Rhinolophus ferrumequinum: one gene and its partner. The protein of the gene in region 2 interacts with the protein of the main gene of each other region in a pairwise test. Links are inferred from orthologs where the notes say so. Each region holds a gene or a part of one and is shown on either strand. Other genes may lie near its edges.

Region 1 (12,155 bases), on a different chromosome or scaffold from region 2:
ACACCACTGCCTGCCTTTTTGCTAACATGGAAAGGAAGCAGAGGGAAGGGGAGGCAGGGGAGGGCAACATCCCAGCAGGCAGGGCCTGCGTACCTAATGTATCAGACACACACTCCCAACTTCTCAGATGGCTAGCTTCTAAGGACACAAGCTAAAGGGTCAAAGACAGCCCAGAGGGGAACTTCCCAGTACCGGTGGAAAACAGCTATTTCTGAGTTTCCTTTCATGGGACAACCGGGCCACAAGAACCCTAAACCCTTTCCCTCAAATACCTTCACTCCCATCCAGCTCTGAAGGCCATACTGAGCTCGGCATTCTGGGAAGTTAAGCCTCTTTTTCGTAAGCTAATGTCCCTCATTCAAAGATGTGTACGTATCAACTGGGGCTGGGAGCACTGGGCAAAGCCCCTTTGCCTACTCCTCTGGGTCATTCCAAAGACAGCTCTATAGAGATTCCCTCCAGGAAAGCTCCGCCCTGGAGGCAGATTGAGAATCAATGACCTTTTGCTGGTCTTTCCCTTTAAGAGTAACTGATTTGGTTTTCTAGCCTGGCTTTGGCAAATGACCAGACTTGCTTATTAGGCGGTTTCTTAAAACCAGGTAGGAACAATAATAGCAGTAAGAAAGGAAAACCTGGCCCTGGCCTTTGTAGAAAGGGTCCTCAAATTCACTCCGTTGAACTCCTAGAAGTGTCATTATCAACAGGCAGACAACCTAAAAGTTTAAGGCAGATCTAAAGACAGATAAAGCAGGCTCAGTATGCTTTCATGCCATCCTATATAGACAGGGGCCCATAGGCCTGGAAAAGAAGAGAAGCAAAGTTTGTCGGCACCAAGAACAGCCCCCCCAGCCACAGCAGACACACTGCCCACATCTCAAGTTGAAGGCTGCTGGCTTCAACTGCAAAGCTCACCAACGCTGGACAACCCAGAGGTCAAGTGGAGCTGGGAAGATCTGCAAGCTGATGATAAACAAACAGGTCACTTGTCCTCAACGCCTCTCTGAGTCTGATTTTCCCATTTGCACATTTGCAGCTACAGGCTCCACTCCTGGTCTGCCACATATCACTCTCCTGCCCTCAAGTTCCTCCAGGTCCCGAGCTTCCCTCCCTTCTACAAACGGGGGAGGGGGCAGTTACAGCAAAATTAGAACCCAGTTCAGGCACGTCCTGAACCAGATCTTCAGAAAATCTTGGCAAAATCGAGCCAGGAGTTTATACAAGTGGAATGGGCCTGGTGCGCTAATAAGCACAAAAACCTTCCGCCACGCCCAGCACCCAGGGCGGCTGCTACTGACCACCATTTAAGCAAACTGAAACACATTCCGAGGCAAACTGTTCTCTCACAGGCCTGCAAGCCTCACCAGGAACGTATATGGCTTTGGGAGGCAAAGCTTTTAAACACCAACTAAGGTGTGAGCTCCCGGGTGTGAAGAGCCCCTGGGGGACACAGGCTCGTTCAGTCAGCAGTACTGGCTGAGGTTTCTTGGGCCCAGATACTGAGCAATTTCCTGTGACCTCCCAGGCAGCCCCAGGCACCATCTCCCAATCCTGTCCTTCCCAGCATGCCCCAGGGGCTAAAAACCACAAAAGCCACAGAACACGGGCTGTGGACGGCTCCTGCAACCTTAGCAAAGGGAGCCAAGGAAGGAAGCAGCCCCTGCCTCGCAGGGCTCCACACACGAGGCCAGTGGAGAATGGGTTCCCATTTGGGCGGGGCCAGACTTCACGGGCTGCATGTGTCACAGACATCAGATGAAAGTAGCCCTGGGCTGTGTCAGAGCCGGTTACCTCTGCTGATGCGCTGCTTCTCCCCAGACAGGATCCCAGGAGTGTCAATGATGCTTATGCTGTCCAAGACGGGGTTGGGCAGCTGGGCGCACATGAACCTGCACGAGAGCAAGAGCCGGAAGAGAGAGAGGTCAGGACGCGGCCATCGCTGCTGTCCATGCTCCACGGTCACCTCTGCTTCCTTTCCAGAAGCAAGGAATTTACAGGAGGCTTTCTATCGTCTTGTTTCCCGGGGTGGCCAGAAAACCGTACATGTTCTCTTAACTGGAATCCAACCAGCAGGCTCAAACCGACCCGCATCAGCACTTTCCTCATGTTAGCTTTTCCCCCGGAGTTCAAGAGTTCAGCTTTCAAGTTGCTGACATGTTAGTGAAAACTGCAAGGAGCCTAGGTCACCGTTCCAATCCAGTAGGGAAGCAAAAGGGTGACACTGGAACCATGGGGTTCCATGTTAAAATTTGCAACCACTTGTCTACATTTCCACACACCAAAGACAGATGGTCCTTTCCCACTGCTGCTGGGCCCGGCCCTTGCCGTCCACCCAGCTGCTCAGGGGAAGGGACTGCAGTGGGTGGCCAGTGAAAGCTGGGGGACCACACAGGCTAGGTGGTGGAGCAGACAAGTACAGACACCATTCTCTGACTGTCCAAGCTGGTCCAGGCAGAATGAGGCTACAGACAGGCTGGCAACCCCTGAGTGAGGGCTTAGCTGTGTGTGCCTAAGTTCTCCCTGGATTTAGAACAGCCCAGGACAGCAAGGGGCTGTCCCAACTGATAGCAGAGATTCTTGACTGGACACAGAAAAGGCTCCTTTCAAAACTTCTCTGAAAAAGGTATTGTGAGCAAAGAAAATACTGACCCATTGTCTATAGGACTCAGGCTTAAAGCTGCCTTTCCAACAGGGGGAGGAATCTGAGCTGATTAGCTTCCCCTTTTGGCACCACCCCCCAAGTGACCAGTGGCCCACAGGCCAGGGGCAGCTGGCCAGGGGTGAGAGGTGGCCTGCAAACACAACAGAGCAAATCCAGCTGACCCTCACGGTGCACTAAATTGGACCTCATCTTCCCCCATGGCGCAGCAGAGCTGTGCGTGGGTAAATAAGTGCGTGCCAGACCTGGGGTTCCTGCTAGGGGAGGGAGTCCCTGGAGAGAACACCGAACTAAAAAGATTTGAAGCAGAATTGGCTCTGGGTGGTAACATACATAAAAATATTTTGCGAATGAGCCTGGTGAGTAAGTTCACATCTGTAGGACTCAGAAATAATTGCGCTGCAAAGCCCAGGGCGTGTGGTGGAAAACATAAAGTACAAGCAGTACAGATGCATCCCATCCCATGTTCTCACCAGCAAGGATGCACAGATTTCACCTCGAACTACAAGGGGGCGGTACCGGTTTCGCAATGAGTTTTCACAGCACGATCTTTGGACACCCTGACTGTGTCCTGCCTCCCTCTGCTCCATCTGATTTTAATCTTAGAGCAGCCATTTAGGGGAAAAAGGCCGGAAAGGCAAGTTCATGACTCAATGGGTCTCTTCAAGGGCGCTGGGAGAGGCTGTGTCAGCCAGAGAAGAGCCCCCTTTGTGTGCCCTGGCTAGTGGGGAGGCACAGGCTGACACAGCTCCAGGCCTCAGTTCCCGTGCAAACCCGTGCCCCACCCCATCTTTGGCTGACAAGGCCCCTTTCAGCAGGGCCATTAAAATTTGGGGGGCCTCTGGGGATGAGGCGGTGGCAAAAAGGAAACAAGTGTGGTTGTCGCATCCTGTGGCACCAATGTCATCAAAGTGCCTGTCTGGGACCCAGCACACCTGACTTTTTCTTTGTATTGCATAGAAGCCATGCTGGCTGCACACATAATCAGAGCTGCATCCACCTGCTGGGTGAGCTAGACAGGCAAATCAGCCGGGCGCAGGGACCGTGGTTTCCTGAACCCACGAGGTGGGGGTTGCCTAGATGGCTAAGATCCTTTCCAGCTCTGAAACTTTAGGTCTCCAAATCCAGAAAACAGGCCATATGCCCGTTTTTCCTTTCAGAAAAGGTCTTCTCTCACGAGCAGAAGTGGAGACCTAAGGACCGTCAAGGGAGCTATAGCTACACTTCCTTCTAGCTCCCCAAAGTTCTGCATAAAAGTAGAGAACTAATAATGCTTGGAATTCCCAGCATAGCAGCCAAACTTTCCACAAGATCGCACCACGCCCACCAGCCAACAGTCTGAGCCAATCCCCTATGTACATTCACAATAATTCTAAAACACCAGCATCCTCTTCCAGAGGAAGGCTCCAGGCTAAAGGGGCCACGCCTCTTCAGGAGTCTCCCCAAAGAGCTTTACTCAACTCTGGCCCTAACACACAAATGCTATCAGCTAAAAACACAGGAGAATGGGGTGGTCCGGTGGATCAGGCAGTTGGAGCACTGTGCTCCAAACGCTGAGGTCGCCGGTTCGATTCCCACATGGGCCAGTGAGCTGCGCCCTCTACAGCTAAGATTGTGAACAACGGCTCTCCCTGGAGCTGGGCTGCCGTGAGCAGCCGGAGGTCGGCGTGAACCGCTGTGGGCTGTCGCGGGCTGCTGTGTGCTGCCATGGACTACCATGTGCTGCCATGAGCGGCCGGTGGCCAGCGTGAGCGGCCGGCAGCCGGCAAGAGCTGCCGTGAGTGGCTGACCAATGACTGGCGACAGACTATCTCAGCCGGGGGGAGCGCAGGGCTCATAACACCAGCATGGGCGGGGGAGCTGTGTCCTATACAACTAGACTGAGAAACAACAGCCTGAACAGGAGTGGGGGTGGGGGAGGAGGAAAAAGGGGGAAAAAAACACCAGGAGAATGAGTTTAAAAGCCTGAAAAGGGCAAGAAGACAACAGTAGCCTGCACGTCTTCTGTTAAAGGTCAACTCTGTTCCTGGAGGTGGGGGCAAGCTGGTCCTCCCTGGGCAGAGCAGCTGGACAGTGTCCGAAAAGGAATGTGATCATACAGGGCAGAGACCTAGAAGGCAAGCGTCAAGGATTCTTTCCTAGGCTCTTACCCAGACCCACTCCTTGAATGGGAGGTGGCAGAGAGGGCAGATCTGTGAAGTCCTCGTATGCTCCATGGGGGTGGGGGGAGGGATTTTAAGAACACTGACTAGCACTTCCCAGTTCCTTTAGAGGAAAGTGAGCTTTGGCTGTTGCACTCCTGAGAGAGGAGGCCAATGGGTTTCATTCCGAGCATCACAGAATCTTGGAGGATTATCTTCATCATGAGACGTCAGATTTCACCCATTTTACTGGGGAAACTGAGGCCCAAACAGATGAAGGAACCTCCTATGGAGTTTACAGAGGAACTCAGGGCCCGAATCGTGTTTCATTTCAGGGGGCCCAGGGCCACCGCCTGAGGCTGCTTCATGAAACCCACAGACTTTGGGAGGAGAGTTCCAACCTCATCTGTCTGCTGCCCCAAACTCAGCAGGCCACAGCACATCCTCCCCGTTCCTCCTACACAAAACCACAGGTCCCAGGGGAGGCACAGCACAGCACACATCACATTAGCAAAGGGAATGGCTAAAAGTTTCACCGTATTTTCCCAGACACTTAAGAAAAACCCTTGAAGGAAGAGGGGTGGTAGTTTGAATGAATTAGGTGTATCCAGTCTGGAAGAAAGAGATGCCAAACAAGACTAATCCTTGGTTCTGAGGGAAGTAGGGCTGGGCCCTTTGGGAGTTAAACTGATAACCTAGAAAATTCTGGGGGTGACAAAAGTCGGGGAAGCCAACGACGCCCACTCCCAGAGCCCCAAATAGGTTTTCTATGGGAAGCGGCAGAGGACCCTGTTCCAGGGAGTGGTCGCTGAGGGTCTCTCCGGGGCCTCGGAGACAAAGGATGGCGTAGGGGCAACCGCGGGAGGGTCGGGATCCGAGTGCGGGGTCGGGGCCCTGGTCGTCCCCCTTGTCCCCAGAGGCTACCTGTTGAGGAAGGCGTTGCCGAAGGCGTTGAGCTTGCGGAAGGGGCGCCGTGGATCCACGACGAGAGCGTTGCCAGGCACCACGCCCTCGGTAGGGCCGTGCATAACCGCGATGAAGGAGTCTGTGGTGGGCTCGGGCCCGATGCGCATTCCCGGGAAGTCCTGCTCAATCAAGTGCCGGATGAAGGTGGTCTTGCCCGTGCTGTACTGGCCCACGAGCAGCACCATGGGCTTGTTGTCGAAGTCAGCGTCCTCCAGCGCGGGCGAGTGGAACTCGTGGAAGCGGTAATGCTCCTCCAGGGGCAGCAGCTTCTGTGCGTACAGCTGCCGCAGCCCCTCAGCCACCGTCTGGAAGAGCTCCGGCTCCTTCTTGCGGCGGGCATCCTTGCTGACCCAGCTGAACATGCTGCCGGAGACGGGGCTGACTGCTGCGGAGCAGAACGGAGGCTGTGAGCTGGGCGAGGGCGCGAAGCCGAGGCGGGGCCCGGCCGGCAGGCGGAGGGGTAGCGGGGCTACAGGGCAGGGGGCGGGGAGCGGCCCACACTGCGCAAGCGCACGGCACAGCCCGCGGTGCGCCCTCTACGGAGTGGACCGCGCGCTGTATCGAGAACCCTTTATAAGGCCCGTCCTCCCGTTCGGGTGCGCGCATGTGCGCCGCCGCCGCAAGGACGCAAGGAATTGGGAGGGGGAGGAAAGAGCCCCGCCCGCGGTCTCCACGCCACGTCCGCCCTCCCCCGCCTCCCATTGGCCGATTGCAAATCTCGCGAGCGCCTCTTGCTCAGCTCCCCGCCCCTGGCCTGGGTGCCGTGGCAACCACCCTGGTTTCGCCTCGCCTTTAGAGGGCCGACTCGTGCAAGTGCTGCGGTTGGGAAGACGGGAAGCGGGAGCCGGGCGCGAGGAGGTCCCGGCGCTAGTGTGCCTTCCAGCGTCCGCGAGACGCCCAGTTAGACACTCCAGCTTTCTGACTACACGCCCCACCCGCAGTTCCCCCATGAACGGTCCTCTTCCTCCCACGGCTCAATCTCCGGAAAGTTTGGAGGACCCCTGGGGCCGCGCGTCTCCCATCTGCACTGCTCTTCCTTGCCTCCTCGCGCCTGCTTCCCTGCCACTCCCTCTCATCCCCGAATCTTTGTCTGCTTTGGGAGAAGGGGAGGCAAGAAAGAGATAGAGGAAGCTGAACTTCCGAGAAGGAGTGGTAACTGGGTAAAGAAAAATGGAGGGAGAGGAAGCCAATGGGGAAAATCTGACCAGCAAGAGTTGAGCTCCCCTCAGGCCAAAAGGGCTGGGAATTTGGAGATGGACACAAGCAGTAGAGGGCGAATATGACATATGACATGTGGTGGGAGAAGAGACGGCCTCCTCAAAAAGACTGCATCTGGGGGAGGGTGGGAGAGGGTAAAGAGGAAGTTGAGGCTGCCTGGCCGCATGAGTCTTGAGGAAGTGAAATTGGAAATTACCTATGTGAGGAGGAGGGGAAACATGGAGCAACAGTGAAATCTTGTGGGAACTTAGGGGAAATTAAAAAACCCAAATACTTCCGCTTTCCTCTCAGGGTCACCACCAGTTACCAGTTTTTCATGCTGACCTGTAGCCCCAACCCTCACCCCTGCTTACCAGTTCCAGGCAGTTCCACTAGGCTCATTCCCCTGCCATGGTCCTTGGCCACAAGTGGAAGTCCACTGGGCTGTCTAGGCTGGTGAGAATCTTCAGTGGGTGATGTCAGAGCTTTGGGGACTGTGATTGTTATGTAACCAGTACAGGACACCAAAGTGCCAGAGGGGGTCCGGGAGGCTCCTGGACAGATCTAAAATGTAGCTAGGCACTTGAAGCCCTCACGTCCAACTTTCTGGCTTCTGGGAGATGTGGCAACCTGGAGGGCAGGGTGCCTATATCAGGGAAGAAAGCAGGCTGGCAGGCTAAGAGGACAGAGGCAGGAACTCAGAACAGGCAGAATATTAGGGGAGCTGAGTCAACTGGGAGCCAGAGGGGGCAATATGGGAGGTTTGGTTGCCCACCCCTTGTAAGGTCAGGCCTCAGTGCCTTCTGAGGGAATAAGTAATGTTAAATTGATTGCCTCTCCCTCGCTAAGCATTGGAGAGCACTGCCTGCAATCTTAGGTCCCGGATTTACTCCTTTTATTTGTATTAGCATTCTTTTCATCAACCACAGTAAAATGTGAAAAGCCATGAGACCCTTTTTTGGGCATTCTTCTCAAAAGAGAATACTGAGACTCCTAGACAGGGTGTCACCATAGGCTGTATGCCAGCTGATGACAAGAAGCCTCAGGCGGGCCCAGTCCAGACTTCCTGGGCCAGCCTTAGAGCCAAAGGTCTTGCCTCCTACATGACGCTTTAAGGGGTCCACCCCGGACATGCAACTTCTGAGCTGTTCCAGGGAAGGGCCCGGGGCTGAGGATCCTGAAAGAGGTGGTTGTTCAGTGGCCTGAATGAGGCTTCAAGGAGCTAGGTCCCCGGCAACACTCACACTGACCCACCATGGTGTGCACATCTCCCCAGAGCCCTGTGTGCTAGGAAAATCCAGCCCTATAAAATTGAAAATAACAGAATGTTCCTGGGTTATTTATAAATGAACCCTGTTGTTTCTGTATGGCCACTTGGCTTTCTCCAAGGAGCTCAAAGGACTGGAAGAGGGGTTCTTTCATGAGGCTCAAGTGGGCGGAAATTAGTTTCCCCAATTTCACAGACTTTGCACCCAGGTCCTGGGCAGCTTCCTTATCTAGTATTGCCCCAGACTGGGAAAATGTCCTTCTGGGTGTTTTTTTTTTTTGAGTAACATACCGGTAACTTCCATTTAATGGGAAAGTTTTGTGAAATGTGAATGAACCATTTCACTTTTGGTTTCTCCTCCGTTTCACTTTCTGTTTGTGTTTTCCTGGATTCCCGGGAAAAAAACTGAGGAAGGGTTCAGATATTTCCTTTTTCTCTGATGTGCCTCACTCCCAGTGTTTTCTTCTTTCAAACTCACAAACACACCCGCAAAAACCCCGCCCTGAGGTGCCACTAGGTCTCCCTGAGACTGCACTCAGCAACCAGAAAGGGGCCACCTGCTTTCCCTCAGAGCAGTCCCATGATGTCCTGGTCTAGAGAAGTGTCTACAAGGCCCCTAAAAACAACTTCAAAAAAAAAAAAAAAACAGTTTCTCTCCAAATATGGCAGAAGAATCAGGCTGGAAAAAGCCCAAAACATAGGTTTGTCTCTGGGAGTGGTTCATTCTGTCCACTGAGAAAATGTGCACATCAGTGCAGCTTGTGGGTCTTGTAGTCACAGGAACAGATGTGGCCAACAGATCAGTTTGGCCAAAACAAGGTCAAGCACTCGGGAGGCCGGTTCCTTGGCAATCCAGGGTCTCCAGCGCCAGCCAGAGAAGGGCGTCCTCTCCACTCCACAAGGCCTCTCTCCCATCTCCCGAAGAGGCAGCAGTGGACGAGGCCTTGGGTACAATGTCGGACCCTCCCTGAGGTGTGGATGTGAAGGCTGGGCCAGAGGAAGGGGTGGGCTCAGTGACCCGAACGCTGAGTGTGACACATGGTCGGGGCCAGAATTACTCTCCAGCCCCCAGCCTGTGAGGCCCACAGTGAGGCTCAGACTGTGTCCCAGCCACGGGGGAAAAGGGGATAGAGGCCATGGGAGGGAGAGGCAACTGGAGCAGATGCACCTGCCTGCAGGGGACATAAGGAGGTCAAGTGGCTGCACGCACACAGGTTCGGCTAAGACCCTGGTCACTCAGGCAGCAACATCCACAGCACGTCATGTACCCTCAGGCTGCCGTGATCATAGGACCGCAGGGTTATACCCGCCATTTCCATCAGTGTAGAGCAAGGGGACCCCCAAGCCCGTGCCAAGGGACCCATGGTGGTATCACTGTAGAAGACAGAATCCTCATGTACCAAGTGATAAACCACTTCCTGTCCCCAAATGCAATGTGTCCACAGCACAGCTGGGACGGTGCCTGCATTCTGCAGGGAGTTTGGGCTGAACACTGCACCCTCAGCACAGCGTCTGCTCCAGCAGCCCCTGCAAGATGGGGCCAGAGGCCCCAGAGACAGAGACAGGTGTTTGGAAGCCCTGCAGTGGGGGCCCCACCTCCAGCCTGACATACAGTTTCCATCAAAATGGTTGGAGGCCTTTGGCTCAGCTCTGCCAAGCACTGAGAGGTTACACAGCACCCCAGTAAAACGCAGGCTGGGCCCCCAGGCGGCTAAGCAGGGTGGGGTGGAGTGAGGTGTGGGGCTCTGGCTTGAGGGCAGAGTTCACCCCAGGCTGTACCTGAGAAAGAGGCTCTCGAAACCCTCTTCCTCTGCTTTGCCTCCAGCTCCCACCTTGTGACTTCAAATGGTTCGAGTACGGAAAGAGCACAGTGTTAATATTCCCAAGGCTCAGCTTCTCATTCAGACTTTGAGGAAGGCACTCTACACGCCTGGGCCTCCAACTTCTTCTCATTGAGATTTGGAAGCAGAGATCCCGAGCACCCCTGACACTGTGTCACCTCCAAGCCAGAGTCCTGGCACCCACAGAGGCCTCTGGAGCCCAGGGGTCTGGGACCACTCAACATTTTTTTCATATAAATGAATGGCCATTGCTTCTTTGCATTATGCCATTTCTACTTATGAAAGGTTTCACAGGAACACTCTACTTTCTTATAGCAGGGGGGGGATACCTGTAATTTGTTGCACAGCAATAGATTACTGTAGCAATGGATTTGTCCTTTTGTCAATCAACACTTTTGTTGACTGGCAAAACTTGGCAGCCATTCAACAGAAGTTAAGAAGAAAATGGAAGGAAACTAAAGTTATCACGGAGTACCGCTAGCTGGGAAAGCAGATTTCAAAACTGAATAGAGCGTGATCTGGCTTCACACACACACACACACACACACACACACACACACACACTGCCATCCACTATTGAGAGGCAGTGTAGCAAAAGGGCAAGTGCTTAGTCGGGTTTAACTCTTAAAGCCTGTGTCATCTTTAGCAAGACACCAGGTGTCTGGGACACAAACTGTAAGGACACAAGCTGTAAAATGGGATACCAACGCACCTAGCATGCAGGATTAAATGTGAATGTGCAGAGCACACAGAACAGGGAAGGCAGCTAACCTGAGTGATTACGGGCAATGTCTACAGGGCTATCCTTGCGTCATAGGAGCTGGCACAATTTTTGTTTACTTTCCTATATTGTCCAAATTTTATATCATGGACACATTTGAGGGAAGCTGAGAGACATTCTACAAAACTGGCCTGTACTCTTCAAAAATGTCAAGGTCTTAAAAAAACAAAGAGAGGCTGAGGGTGGCTCAGCTTAAAGAAGACTGAAGACACCTGGCCATCAAATGTGGGGCGTGATCCCAGTTTACTGGGACAACCAGAGACATCCAGAAGTGGACAGCGTATCAGATGATCGTCCTGCGTCACTGTCACTATGCCTAAAAGTGGTAACTGTGTTGTGGTTGTGTAAGAGATGTCATTTTTCTTAGGTGGTACATGTTGAAATATTCCTTAACTTACTTTCAAATGGTTCAGAAAAAATGTGTGTGTGTGTATAAGGGAGGGAGAGAGGGGAAGAGAGAGAGAGAGAGAGAGCGCGCGCGCAAATATGGCAAAATGTTAAGTTAGTGAAACTGAATGAAGGGTATATGAGTGTTCATTGTACTTTGCTTGCAACTATTCTGAAGGTTTCATAATTGTCAAAAACAAAAAGTAAAAGGCTAGTGTCATGTGGCGTGTCATGCAGGGTCTCTGGTCCCGCTCCCCACACAAGAACACAGGATATGGTGAGGCCAAAAAGGAACACCCAGGGAGCCATAGATAGGGGAGTCATACCACTATATTCTCGCTGGTGGCTGGGTTGGAGACACAGGGAGCAAACATCTGCCAGTACCCCAACGAGGGGCCTTCCTGCCCCGCAGTTGCGCTGGCAGCTGGGCAAGACACACATAGAAAGTAGGATCCACATGATCCGCAATCCACCATCCACTTTTCTGCCTGCCAACCAACCAACGCAGCCACGGCAGTTATATCAGTGGCTAACGGCTAACTGGTAACAGCTGATGGCCAACTAGCCACAGCAGATGGCCATCTACTACCGGAGCCAGCACCTTTCCACGTGAGGCCGAGAGCCTGGAAACTGCTCTCTGGGGCTCTGTCCCCACAGCTAGGAACAAGATACCCTTCCCTCAGGTACTATGTGGCCAGCCCCGATATTACATTTGTAGACTCATGACCCAGAAGTACTGTATAGAGCATTAATTATGAATGTAAAATGGACACTAATAATTCTGATAGCTATGTCAGTCGCAAAGTGGCATCACGCCAGAGCATGCTGTGAAAGGTGTACCCAGTGAACACCCTAACCAGATAACTCCAGAGTGGAGAGTGACCATCTGGACAGCTTTATGGGACTGCAGATGGGGGAA
Region 2 (11,945 bases):
TGACCACTTTTTAGTAATGTCAAGTTTAAATTTTCTTTTTTAAACTGCCTCCAAAACCTGAAACCATTTCACTTTCACTTTAGGCAAGTGAAATGTTAAAACCAAGGTCCCCTCTTTTGGTTTTAACATTTCACTTGCCTAAACTAGCAATGTCACAAAATTTCTAAGAATCAAAAGACCAAATGGAGAGGTGATCTGCTTTTCAAAGGATTTTCTCAAAAATCTTTGATGTCAATCTTTAAAACTTTACTTTCCTGATTCTGAAACACATAATCAAGAATTCCTTCCCTACTAAAGAATGCTTAACTCAATTTAGTTCTTCTGAGGTAGAGATGGGGGGAAAAAGGAGGGAGAAAAACAAGTGAATACTTGCAAGTTTCTTTTACAAGAAACAAAATTTCTACTCTATTTAGTATTCTCTAAATAGATTCCCATGTCTATTATTCCCTAAATAACCTTAAACATTTTTCTTCTAATAAAAGGGTTATCAGAGGAATCGGAGGACATTCTACCACCTCTCTACCCACTGGCATCAAAGTCTTAGTCGTCTCAGAGTACATGACGCGGTTCAGCTAAGACTGGACACTCATTGAAAATCATGGAGGCCATTCAATTGTCCAAAGGAACTTAGATAATCAGTTTGTTTGTTTGTTTGTTTTCCAGCTGCAGCACATGCGGGAATTGGAATTCAGGGCCTCACATCATCAGTGATCTCATGTGGAAAGAGCAGCAGTAGTCTCAGAGGTGATAGAAGACATGGGTTCAAGGCTTAGCTCTTGAATTCAATTCCTCTGTGACTTTGAGTAAGTTATTCAACTTCTCTGAGCCTCACTTTTTCTCTGTAAGATGAGCCCAACCACCCTACTGCAGGGTGAATCAAATGAAATTATATGTGAAAGAACTCTGAAAACTATAAAGCGCAAACAGCATTTTTGGGGGGAGAGGGCGGAGAGCTTCTAACAGTTATGGCTCTGCTCCAGCCAGAACCCACCTGGTCATCACCGTCTTCAGGATTTTGAAACTGTTTTACTTTGTCATGCTTTTGAAAAGAAGTTGTTAATGCTTTCAGCAATTCTTTTTTTCTGAACTGAAAAATATGACATAGAGTGTGACTATTTGATTACCGGGTACATATGACTCATATGTGCGGAGGCCAAAGTACACATACCACATTTCCCGGAAAATAAGACCGGGTCTTACATTAATTTTTGCTCCAAAAGACGCATTAGGGCTTATGTTCAGGGGATGTCATCCTGAAAAATCATGCTAGGGCTTAGGTCTTATTTTCGGGGAAACATGGTAGGAATACATGATCATTCCTTTCTGTCCCACCCAACAAAGACTTGTGAAAACAGCATCCAGATCTTTTCAGTCGCATTGCCTTCAGAAATGCGACCAGATGTAAGGTTAGCCGAAAACGAAAAAGTGAGTTCCAAGGCAGTGGCATCATAGTTAGGGGTTAGAATCTGAAGTCCAGGAAATGAATGCTGTTTAGTCAAAATTTCTGCAACTCTCCAACACCTGAGCCCTTGAAAGCTCAAATAGTAAGTTTTAATTTTCGGGGTCGTTTTTCTTTGCTTTTCAACTATGACCTTCCTTTACCTGAGCTGCAGAGGACAAGGTCTAGTTGAAAAAAGAAGAATGGCAGGAAGGCTTGAATTTATGACAAGTAAATGAGTCAACAATGTGCCTCCACTTGCATAGCAAAGGAAAAGAATTCCACTCCAAAACCCTCGGAGGCTGGCAATGAGACAATTCAGTCAGCAGAGCACAGTAACTACATTTATTAGGTTCAAAGCCGGGCTCTGCCTCATTGTGTGACTTTAGGCAGGTTATCTAATCTCTGTGTCTGATACCCTCATCAGTAAAATGGGGCTCATCGCAGCATAGCTATTGTGAGGATTAAATGAAGTTAATTCATGGGAAGACTTTGAACAAAGCCTGGCACGTGGTAAGCGCTAGATAAATGTTTGTGGCTATTGTTATCCATTTATGATTGTTAATATCATGTTCCAGAGGCAACATAGAAGCTGATGAAAACCACCCCAGGAGTTCAAGCTCCCACGAACAGAACGGGATAAGCAAACTCCTCGCCTCTTACTTTTAATTTGCCCTTTGACATCATGGTCTTCCCCGGAGTGCTCTTCTTCATAATGGGACTGAAGCTGATAGAAAGACTGTAGGTCCTTCAGGCACAAAGGGCAGAGGAAGCCCTCCCTCACTTCTCCTGGGTCATCCAGAGAGGCCATGACAGTGTCCCTCTCAACCCGCACAAGGCAGGAGCCTCATGCCAACCCTCAGCTGGATTCCTCCGCAAAGGACCAGGGCTCCCGCAGCATTAACTTAACCAGGCAGCACACAGATGATGTGCAAGTGGTATCATGGCCCTGGGCGAGGTTTCCTCACTGGAGTCCGTGGGAGAAGCCTTAAGAAAGGAAAGAAGAAGGGGCGGGGGAAAGCCAATCAGGCAAATTAGCAGCAATTCAGAATTCTCTTTGTTCTTTCCATCATTCAACAAGGATACTTAATGTTTGTTCAGTACATGTTTGAGAACGCAAACTGCTTTCTCAAATCCTTAGACCAAAACATAAAACCATCTAAGATAGAAGAACATCACAGGACAACGGCAGCTCAATAAAGTGGGAAGCACAGATGCTTGAAGATACGAAAGGAAAATTCAACTTCAACAGCAAACACAATACCCAGGCAATTCTCTAACATTCATTCCAAATGATCCAACTTCATAATCTGTAGATCATAGGAGTAATGTCTGAAGTATTTATCAACAAATAGGAGTTTTTCTTGAACTCTCTGTATTTTGATCATTGATTCAATCACATCTATTGAGCTCTTGCACCAATGTCAAAAATACAACAATAAAAAAGAGATAGTGCCTGCCCTAATAAACAAAACAAAAATCCCTACCTCAGTCTAAGGAGGAGCATTAGAAACCTAGTGGTCAAAAAGAAAAATCTATTTTGTGTTTTATACTTGTAAAGCACTTTCTCTCCAATGAACTTACTATATTTTATAAACCAGTAGTGACAGTTGAGCAGGAAGCCAAAAGTTCTCACAGCTTTAAAAATCAAAGGATTTCGTGCTTAAACAATTCAGGGCTTAGTAAGTTACAGTTTCAGTTTTCTTGGGCCATGGCAAAGTCACTTCCAATGTCACCTCAGAAAGACTCCCGGTCATAAGGAGAACCCAGACCACAAAACCACTTCACAAAAGCAGAGAAATTTCTCCCCAAGAGCTTGAGTTCACTAACCACAGTAGAGAGTAAGGGGGACTGTATGACCCTCAGGTTAGACGGACCACTGCGTAGAGGGCCACTGAGGTGGGACGGCCTGGTCCTCAAACCTGAAGGGTGGCAGTGACCCAGAAAATAAACAAAGTCTGTTTCTTTCCTCTAGCTGAGAAACCCAATGACTATATATAAGCAAATCTCACCGCGTTTCCAGATAGTCACTGAAATAGCAGCTCCAGTTCTCTTCCCACCCAGTGGTTCATCTGACACCCTGACTCTGACAGCCCCCTTCTGTTCTGTGAATTCACCCTTAATACCGCAAATCAAACACACACACACCCTTCACATCTCCATCCAACCTCACTTCCTCAAGGAAATGCCTCTGACTTGAGGCCTCCTCCCATCTGACAGCCCCTGCACTTCTACACAGCACTGATCTCAATCTATAATCACAAGTGTATAAAGTAACTGAACACATGAGACTGGAAGCTCGGTGAGGGCAGATTCCATGTCTGTTTTTCCACCACCATATCCCCAAGGTCTGGCACAATGTTTGGCACAAACTACAAGAAACACAATGAATGAACTGTAAGATCAGACAACCAAACACACACCACAAACCAAAGAAATCTACCACAAACCACCAAGCCAAACCCCACAACCATAACGTATGCAAGCCCACACTGTACACCGAGCAAAACATAAAAATAAAACCTACGTATTCTGCACCTATACGTTCAGCCGATGCCGCAGAGACAGCCGCACTCATCACAGCCTCACGACCGCACACAACCCGCCTCCACCTCACTCAACACGATTAGGCACACGTCGCAAAAGTACACACAACGTGAAAGACTCACCCGCGCAGGGCAGACATGACAACTTCACACATCGCACAGACGCCACACCAAACGTTACAAACAACACAAAAACTCAGACCCCAAACGCCTCAACCTCACACAATCAGAGAACCAAACACAACCACCCGGGAGACGACCACCCACCCACCCCTCAGCCGCACAACCACACACAACTGTACACGCCCCGCGACACCACACACCCAAACAGAGCCCACTCAACGCAAGCACACACGAGCGAACAGCAAGACCCGAAAGCCACCTCCTCCACTACGCATGTCACACCCACCCCAACCTCACGGTCCCACACCCGCTCGGCCGCCCGTCTCGGTGCCCGAAGAGAGCAGCGCCCGGCCCCTTAGGCCCAGTCCAACCCTCGGTAACCGGCCAGTCTCCCGCGGGCTCGCAGGCCTTTCCAGACCTTGGCACGGGCTCTGGGCCTCCACGGTTCATCACACCGGCGCGGCCGCCATCTCCATCGGTTACTTGGCGCTCGGCAGGCGCTCCTGTGGCAGCACCGAAACCGGAAGACAGGCTGACAGACGCCCACGGAGCGCCGAGTCTTCCAGCGCGCGAAAGGGGCCGCGACAGATTCCAAAAGCGCTGGGCGACCGGCGGCTTCTGCGCAGGCGCTGTAAGAACCAGCAGGGTGAGCTCAGTAATTTTGCAACGTTTTGACGTCCCAGGTACTTACGTATAATGCGTTAAAGCCAGCCCCTTGCTCTCCACCCCGTGGTACAGGTGGGAAAACAGAAGCTTGTATATGATGTAATTCTTTAGCTTTCGACCAAGGTGTGCAATGAATGAGGCAGCAGGGTTGGGGGTGGGGTCTTTAACGCCTCCTACCCTACCCCCAGCTACAGTTCTAAATTAATTTGAGTCAAAGTTCTTGAGGGCTAGAGATAAAAGGAATATTTTGGAGACTTGGAGGTTGTGGAAAGATCCGGAATAGAACCACATGAGAGTGGAGACTTATAATGAGAGGAAGTATCCATTCAGAGGGTAGACAGCGTGGTCAAATCTGTGGGAAATCTGACATTTTCAAATGTAAATCAAAACTGCAATGAAGGGGTGGAGGAAGGGACATTGGAGGAGGGTGGTCAAAAGTTACAAGATAAATAAGTACTAGGGATGTAATGTGCAATATGATGACTATAGCTAACACTGTTGTATAATATACAGGAAAGTTGTTAACAGTGTAAATACTAAGAGTTCTCACAGAAAAAAAATTTTTTTTTGCTTTATCCTTTTTTCTTTTCTTTTGGTTGTCATCTATATGAAAAGATGGATGTTAGCTGAATCTATTGTGATAATCATTTCACAACATGTAAATCAAACCATGCTGTATGTCTTATACAGTGATGTATGTCAATTGTTTTTCAGTAAAACTGGAAGAAAACACCGCATACAGTATAATTCCCACGTGGACAAAAACCAAACCAAACAACAACCAAAAAACCCACAATGAGGTACCACCTCACACCTGTTAGAATAGCTATTATCAAAAAGACAAAAAATAACAAGTATTGGCGAGGATGTGGAGAAAAGGGAACTCTTGTACACTGTTGGTGGAAATGTAAATTGATGCAGCCACTATCTAAAACCAGTATGGAGGTTCCTCAAAAAAATAAAACGAGAACTAGCAAATGATCCAGCAATTCCACTTCTGGGCATTTAGCCGATGAAAATGAAAACACTAAACTCAAAAAGATGTATGCCCCACCCCACCCCCCGCCCCATGTTCATTGCAGTATTATTTATAATGGCCAAGACATGGAAACAATCTGAGTGTCCATTGATTGATAAACGGATAAAGATGTGATATATATATATATATATATATATATATATATATATATATATGATTCTGCCATTAAAAAGAATGAAAGCTTGCCATTTGCAACAACATGGATGGACCTAAGGACATTGAAGGCATTCATGCTAAGTGAAATAAGTAGACAGAGAGACAAACACTGTATGATCTCACTTATATGAGTATGTGGAATCTTTGGGAAAAAAGAACAGCTCATGGATACAAAGAAAGTATTGGTGGTTGCCAGGGCAGAGGGAGGTTGGGGGGTGGGGGCTGGGGAGTGGCTCCACCTCTAAATTGGAGCACTGATTCTGCAACTAGTGCTGGGCTTGCCTCACCTTCTATTTAAGGATGTGGGGCTTCCAGTGTGGGGAGCATAGAGATTTTGGAAAGCAAGCGCCAGTGGAAGGGCAGTGAGGTAGGGGGTTCAGAGACCTTACTGTGTGACTTTCAACTGTTCCCTTTCCCTCTCCTGGCCTCAGTTTTCCCATCTAAACAGATAAAATGGGTTCTAAAGACTTTCGAGCTCTTTTGTTTTTTTCAATCTGATAGCCCAAAAAATATGTATTTTTTTTAACTTTATAGGGTTGGTAGGAGTAGACAGTGACTCCCCTTTGTGTATTGGCACAGACAAGAGACTTGCCAACCTGTCAGAAGCAAAGCATCAGTCCCAGCTCTACCTACCCACCGCCACCTCCTGCCTTGTTTCCGAGTAACCAAAAGAGTGAAAACACCTTCTTGAATGTATGGAGCCGGATAAGTCCCAGAACTGGCCACACTTATCAGCAGGACTATGTTTGGAGTCAGGTGATGAACCTTTTATTAAACCATCATGATTTTGCCTGTTATTCTATCATTTACAAAAGCCAGTGTCGCATTCACCATTTCATTTACTCAAAAAAGTAGTAATGTGGCCGGCAGCTTGTGAATTAATTCCGGAAATCATGCTGGATCAGCCACTGCTATTCTATTGATATTTTTAAGAATGATGGTGGCAAAGATCTTCCTGTATGCTTTACAGTTTATCAAAAGCACTTTCATTATTTAAATCCTTTGGGCAGCTCTATTATTAATTCTATTTTAATATTAGTAATAATAACTAATATTCACTGAGTGATTTGCATGTGCCAGTCATTGTTCTATGTGCTTTACATGTTTTAACTCATTTAATCCTCATATAACCCTATGTGGTACAAACTAATATTATTCTCATTTTGTAAGTGAGGAATCTGAGGCACAGAGAGATTAGGTAATTTACCCAAGATCACACAGCTGTTAAGTACTGAACCCAGAGTCATCTTGTCTTGAGACTTTCACAACCCCCACTTATCCTTCCTTTGTGAAGGCCTGATCTCTGAGCTTTTCTTCATCTCTCAGCATTTTCCGGGGACCAACCATGTCCCAGGCATAGAGATAGAGGAAGTGAAGAGAATCATGCAAGACAGTCTCAGTCTTCAAGGAGGCCTCAGCTGGCAGGGAACATAATCCAATTAGTTAAAAAAAAAAAAAAAGAAGAAGAAGAACGAGAAGGAGAAAGGAAGAAAAGAAAAGAGAGAGAAAGAGAAGTGTGCACATGTGTGCAGATGTTCTGGCTGATGAAACCCCCTGTGGGAATTCAGGGAAAGTTTCCCAGAGGCAGCAACACATGCGCAGAGCCCTCAAGTAGAGATGATCAAGAAGCGCTTGCCAGGCCTGGGGAACAGCATATGCAAAAGCATGGTCCTGGGGAAGAACATGTGTCCTTTGAGAAACAGAAAAATTCATTCATACCTAGAGTGATACTATGAAGGCACTACATCTTCCCAGCACTACGGCGAGCCCCGTCTAAGGGTCGAGTCTCAGACAAGGGCTCCTTCACCTTTGCCTTCTGGCCTAGAGTTCTGTCTCTGTTTCTGTCTCTCTCTCTCTCTTTCTGACCCCTTATTGTTTAAGTTCATCTCAAGCAGCACAAGATGTCTTGGCATGACATTAAAAAACCTGTGCAGGAGAGGGAAATCATAATGTCAGTAAGCGTATGTTAGGGGAAGGTGTGCGGTACGGCATGTAACTCCCCAAAGATCCAGCTTCCCTCCAGGCTGGCCCAGGCCTCTGACAACTGCTGCTGTGGTCATGAGCAGGTAGGTTGAGGAGACAGAGGTTGGCACACCCCATCTGCTGGCACAGGGAAAACAGAGTAATGACCAAAGGACTGACAGGGTCACAGGAGGGCAGGGCCTGGTTTGGAGAATTGACAAAGGGTGTGCCAGGCTGGGTGGTGACCAGGGGAAGCAGGTGGCAGCTGCTCAGGGTCAGGAAGGAAGCAGAGAACGGACAAAAGAAAAGAGAGAAAGAGAGAAGGAAAGGGAAGAGAGGGAAAGAAATAAGTAGGGAAAGAGGGAGAAAAGGAGAACAAGAAAAAGTTAAGAGGTAGCCAGTCATAACTGTTCTAAGCACAGATTCCAGAGCCAGTCAACTGGGGTTTGTATCCCAGCCCCACAGCTGTGAGGTCCCAGTTCAGTCACTGAAATTCTCTGAGCTTTAGTTTCCTCATCTGTAAAATGGGAGAATAATACCATCTACCTCCTAGGATGGAGCATTCAATCGGTTAATACAGTGCTGGAACAGGGCCTGGCACATAGGAAGGACTATGTGAATGTTTGTTAAAGAAAAAGGAAGGGAGGTGTGATTTAAATGCTTTGGCAGTTGTGTCAAGCTGAGTCAGACACTGTCATTGGAGATGCGAGGATCCTATCTGGTATCATGGAAATATCTTTGAGAGTCATGGCCCTGCCAGATGGGAAGTCAGAATGGAATCAAATAATAACTACTCGCACATTCATTGAATTTTGTGGGGGAGGTTGGTGGGGAGTAGCAGCCTCAACAGACTTGTTAAGTAGAAAATATGGTATTAACATGTGAACTGCAAGGCCACCCAATTTTCAGGTTATCGGCTGGCATCTCCTTTGACAAAACAGGGCCACTGCCAGCCTATTGGGGCCTTTGGTGAATGGGAAAGAGGCCCCTCTTGCTTCCACGGATGGAGCCCTGTGCCAGAACTCAAGCCCTGTGCCTAGTGAGTGGGTCACAAACTGGATTTCTGCTCCCACTCACCCGCTCAACTGTGCTGTGCATACCTCCAAGAGGGTCCCAGGGCGACGGACGAGAGTAAAGGGCTCAGCATGGTCCTCAGGTTGTGAGAAGAAAATCACACTGGTTGTCTGCAGCTTCAGAACTCATTCCTCTGAGCTAAATCTCTGGAGATATGTACGCCCAGTCAGTTGAGAAGTTAACCCCAATTCAAACACAGATTTGAAATAATCTGTGTACATGTGGTATTTTAAGTATTTAATAAGATATTGAAGAGTTTGATGTGTAGAGCATCTAACACCTTAGTCTTGTGACTCCAGTTTAACTCAGAAATTGACTTAGGCCTGTGATTTTTTTCATTCAACAACCTATGTATTGAGCACCTTGCTACGTGGGTGCCTGAGCTAAACCAGGCAGCAGTTCTTGACCTCATGAAGCTGATATTCTAGTGGAGAGACACAGCCACTAAACAATAACTATACCCAAGAAGTATATTTTATAGTACATTAGACAGTCATAAGTGCATCGAAAAAAGAAAAAAACGAGTAAAGGGTATGGGAAGTGCCAGGTCGCAGTATGTAGTAGGGGGGTCACTGAGAAGGCACCATTTGAACAAAGACCTGAAGGCAGTGAGGAATGAGCCATGTGGATCTCTTGGGGAAGAACTTCCATGCAGAGGGAACAGCCAGTGCAAAGTCCCTAAGGCAGAGCATGCCTGGCAGGTTAAAGTAAAAGTCATGAGGTCAACACGCATGCTCATAGCGACGTTATTCACAATAGGCAAAATGTAGGAACAACCCACGTGCCCATTACTGGATGAATGGATAAACAAAATGTGATCTCTTCGTACAATAAAATATTATTCGGCCATAAAAGGGAATGACGTGATATATGCTACCGTATGGTTGGACCTTTTTCATTCTGCTTAGCAAAATAAGCCAGACACAGAAGGACAAATACTGTATGATTCCACTTACATGAAGTATCTAGAAGAGGCAAGTTCATAGGGACAGAAAGTTGAGTAGAGATTACCAGGGTCTGGGGGGAGGGGAGGAGTGGGAGTTGGTGTTGAATAGATGCAGAGATTTGTGGGGGGCCGAGGGAAAAGTTTTGGGTATAGATAGTGGTGCTGGTTACATTACATTGTGAATGTATTTAATGCCACTGAACTGTACACTTGTGAATGGTTAAAATGATAAATATTTTATTGTGTCTATTTTACTACAATAAAAAAAGGTAATGTGGCTGGAACAGAGGGAGCAAGGGAGGGAGTTATAGGAAGGTCTGAGAGCTCAAGGGGAGAGGGCAGGTCATGGCTATTGTAGGGACTTTGGCCTTTACTCTGAGTTGGCGGGGTCCTCAAGGGAGAGTTGGGAGTAGGGAAGGAACCGGATCTGACCTCTGGCTTCTGTGTTGAGAAGAGATACGGAAGGCAAAAATACTGTGTGCTTGGCATACGTAGTAACCCCTTAGTAAGAATCAGTTGAAAGGATGTTTGTTGAATGTCTGGAAGGAAACACAGACTCTAACAGTCGTTGCCTCTGGGGAGTGGAGCTGGCCTTGGAAGGAGATCTCATTGTCACAATGGACTGTTTACTCTGTGGAGTAGACACACAGGGTGAGCCTAGCCAGCCACCAGGGGGCGCCATATGGTCATGTAAGATCCCAGGTTTTCAAAGCCAACTTGGTTTTCCTGGTTCTTGTTTGATGCCTTCTGAAACTCCCTCCTGCTGTCTAGCAGAGGAGGGTGAGCACCCCAGCTGCCTGGATTGAGAGTCAGTTCCCCCTACGAAGCCCCTGCACTGATGAGTTGAGCCCCCCTTCTCTTGCAGACACTCAACTGAGAGGCCAATGACGGTCTGGAGCTCAGATGGCATGGCACATGGCCATGTTCCCACCTGGCCTTGTGCCTTCAGCAGAGCTCATGGGTTCTTTTCTCTGGGGGACTCGACTCCCAAACCTGCTTTTTTCACAGCCCTTCCATTGGAGTAAAGGGCTCCTCCATTCAGCTAGCTGCACCAATCAGAAACCTTGAGGTCGTCTTTGACCCCTCTCTTCCTCTCACACCTTACTTCTAATCCATCAACAAGTCTTGTCGGCTTTTGCTTTGAAATGGATCTAAAATATGCCCACTGCTCCTCACCTCGCTGTTACCCAACCATCTCTGCATGGATGACTGCAGTAGCCTCCTCCCTGCTCTCGCTGCCTCTTCTCTTGCCCCCACCCCACCCTTACAGCCTCTGCCTCCCATGCAGATAGAGGAGTCCTACTGGACCAAAGTCAGGCCACGTCCGTCCTCTGCTCAGCACCCTCCTGTGGCTGCCACCAAAGTCCTCATATTAGCCCACAGGGGTCTGCCTGACCTGGCCCCGGTACCCCTCAGACTTATCTCTCACAACCTTCCCCCGGGGCCCTGGTATGCAGGCACAATGGCTTCCTGCTCCTGCTGTCACAGGCAGAGCATGGTCCACCTCCAGCATCTGCTGGTCCTGTGCCTAGAACACTCTTCTCCCAGATTCCTAAATGGAATCTCCCTCACCTCCTCAGGTGATGCGCAAACATCACCTCATCCTGACCACGCTATCAAAATAGCACATCCCAGGCCAGAGCTGGGACCAGGAGAGGTAAGCGAGGCAACTGGGGTGCAAAATTTAAAGAGGTGCTCACCCTTAGGCCTCTGCAAGCACCAGCCTCCTTTTTGTGCTCTCAGAGCCCCTTTGCCTCACCTTGTTCCTGGCTGTTCACCGGCACTCCACCCCTTTACTCTCTGTGTCTGTACCCTGCATTCATTTTCCTCATCACTTATGCATATGTGCACGTTTATGAATTGCCTCCCTTCCACTGGGATGCCAGCTGCACGGAGGTGGAAACTTTTTGCGTTTGCTGCTGTATCCTCAGCCTCCAATGGTGCTGATACATAATAGGCCCTCGATAAATGTTTCTGAAGGACTCACTGAAGGAG

What was found.
Region 1: the proteins of RBSN (region 2) and EHD1 interact in binary tests that used the Homo sapiens proteins (3 or more experiments, as listed by UniProt). The link is inferred for Rhinolophus ferrumequinum from reciprocal best matches to the Homo sapiens genes RBSN and EHD1.

The regions. Positions count from the first base shown.
Region 1 is NC_046294.1:6,688,698-6,700,852, reverse strand, and holds the start of EHD1 (EH domain-containing protein 1), read right to left. Parts: upstream 6,344-12,155; 5' UTR 6,126-6,343; coding exon 5,722-6,125; intron 1,887-5,721; coding exon 1,789-1,886; intron 1-1,788. UniProt on the Homo sapiens protein: ATP- and membrane-binding protein that controls membrane reorganization/tubulation upon ATP hydrolysis. In vitro causes vesiculation of endocytic membranes. Acts in early endocytic membrane fusion and membrane trafficking of recycling endosomes.
Region 2 is NC_046300.1:41,247,038-41,258,982, forward strand, and holds the start of RBSN (rabenosyn-5), read right to left. Parts: upstream 4,715-11,945; 5' UTR 4,526-4,714; intron 2,426-4,525; 5' UTR 2,250-2,425; coding exon 2,102-2,249; intron 1-2,101. UniProt on the Homo sapiens protein: Rab4/Rab5 effector protein acting in early endocytic membrane fusion and membrane trafficking of recycling endosomes. Required for endosome fusion either homotypically or with clathrin coated vesicles.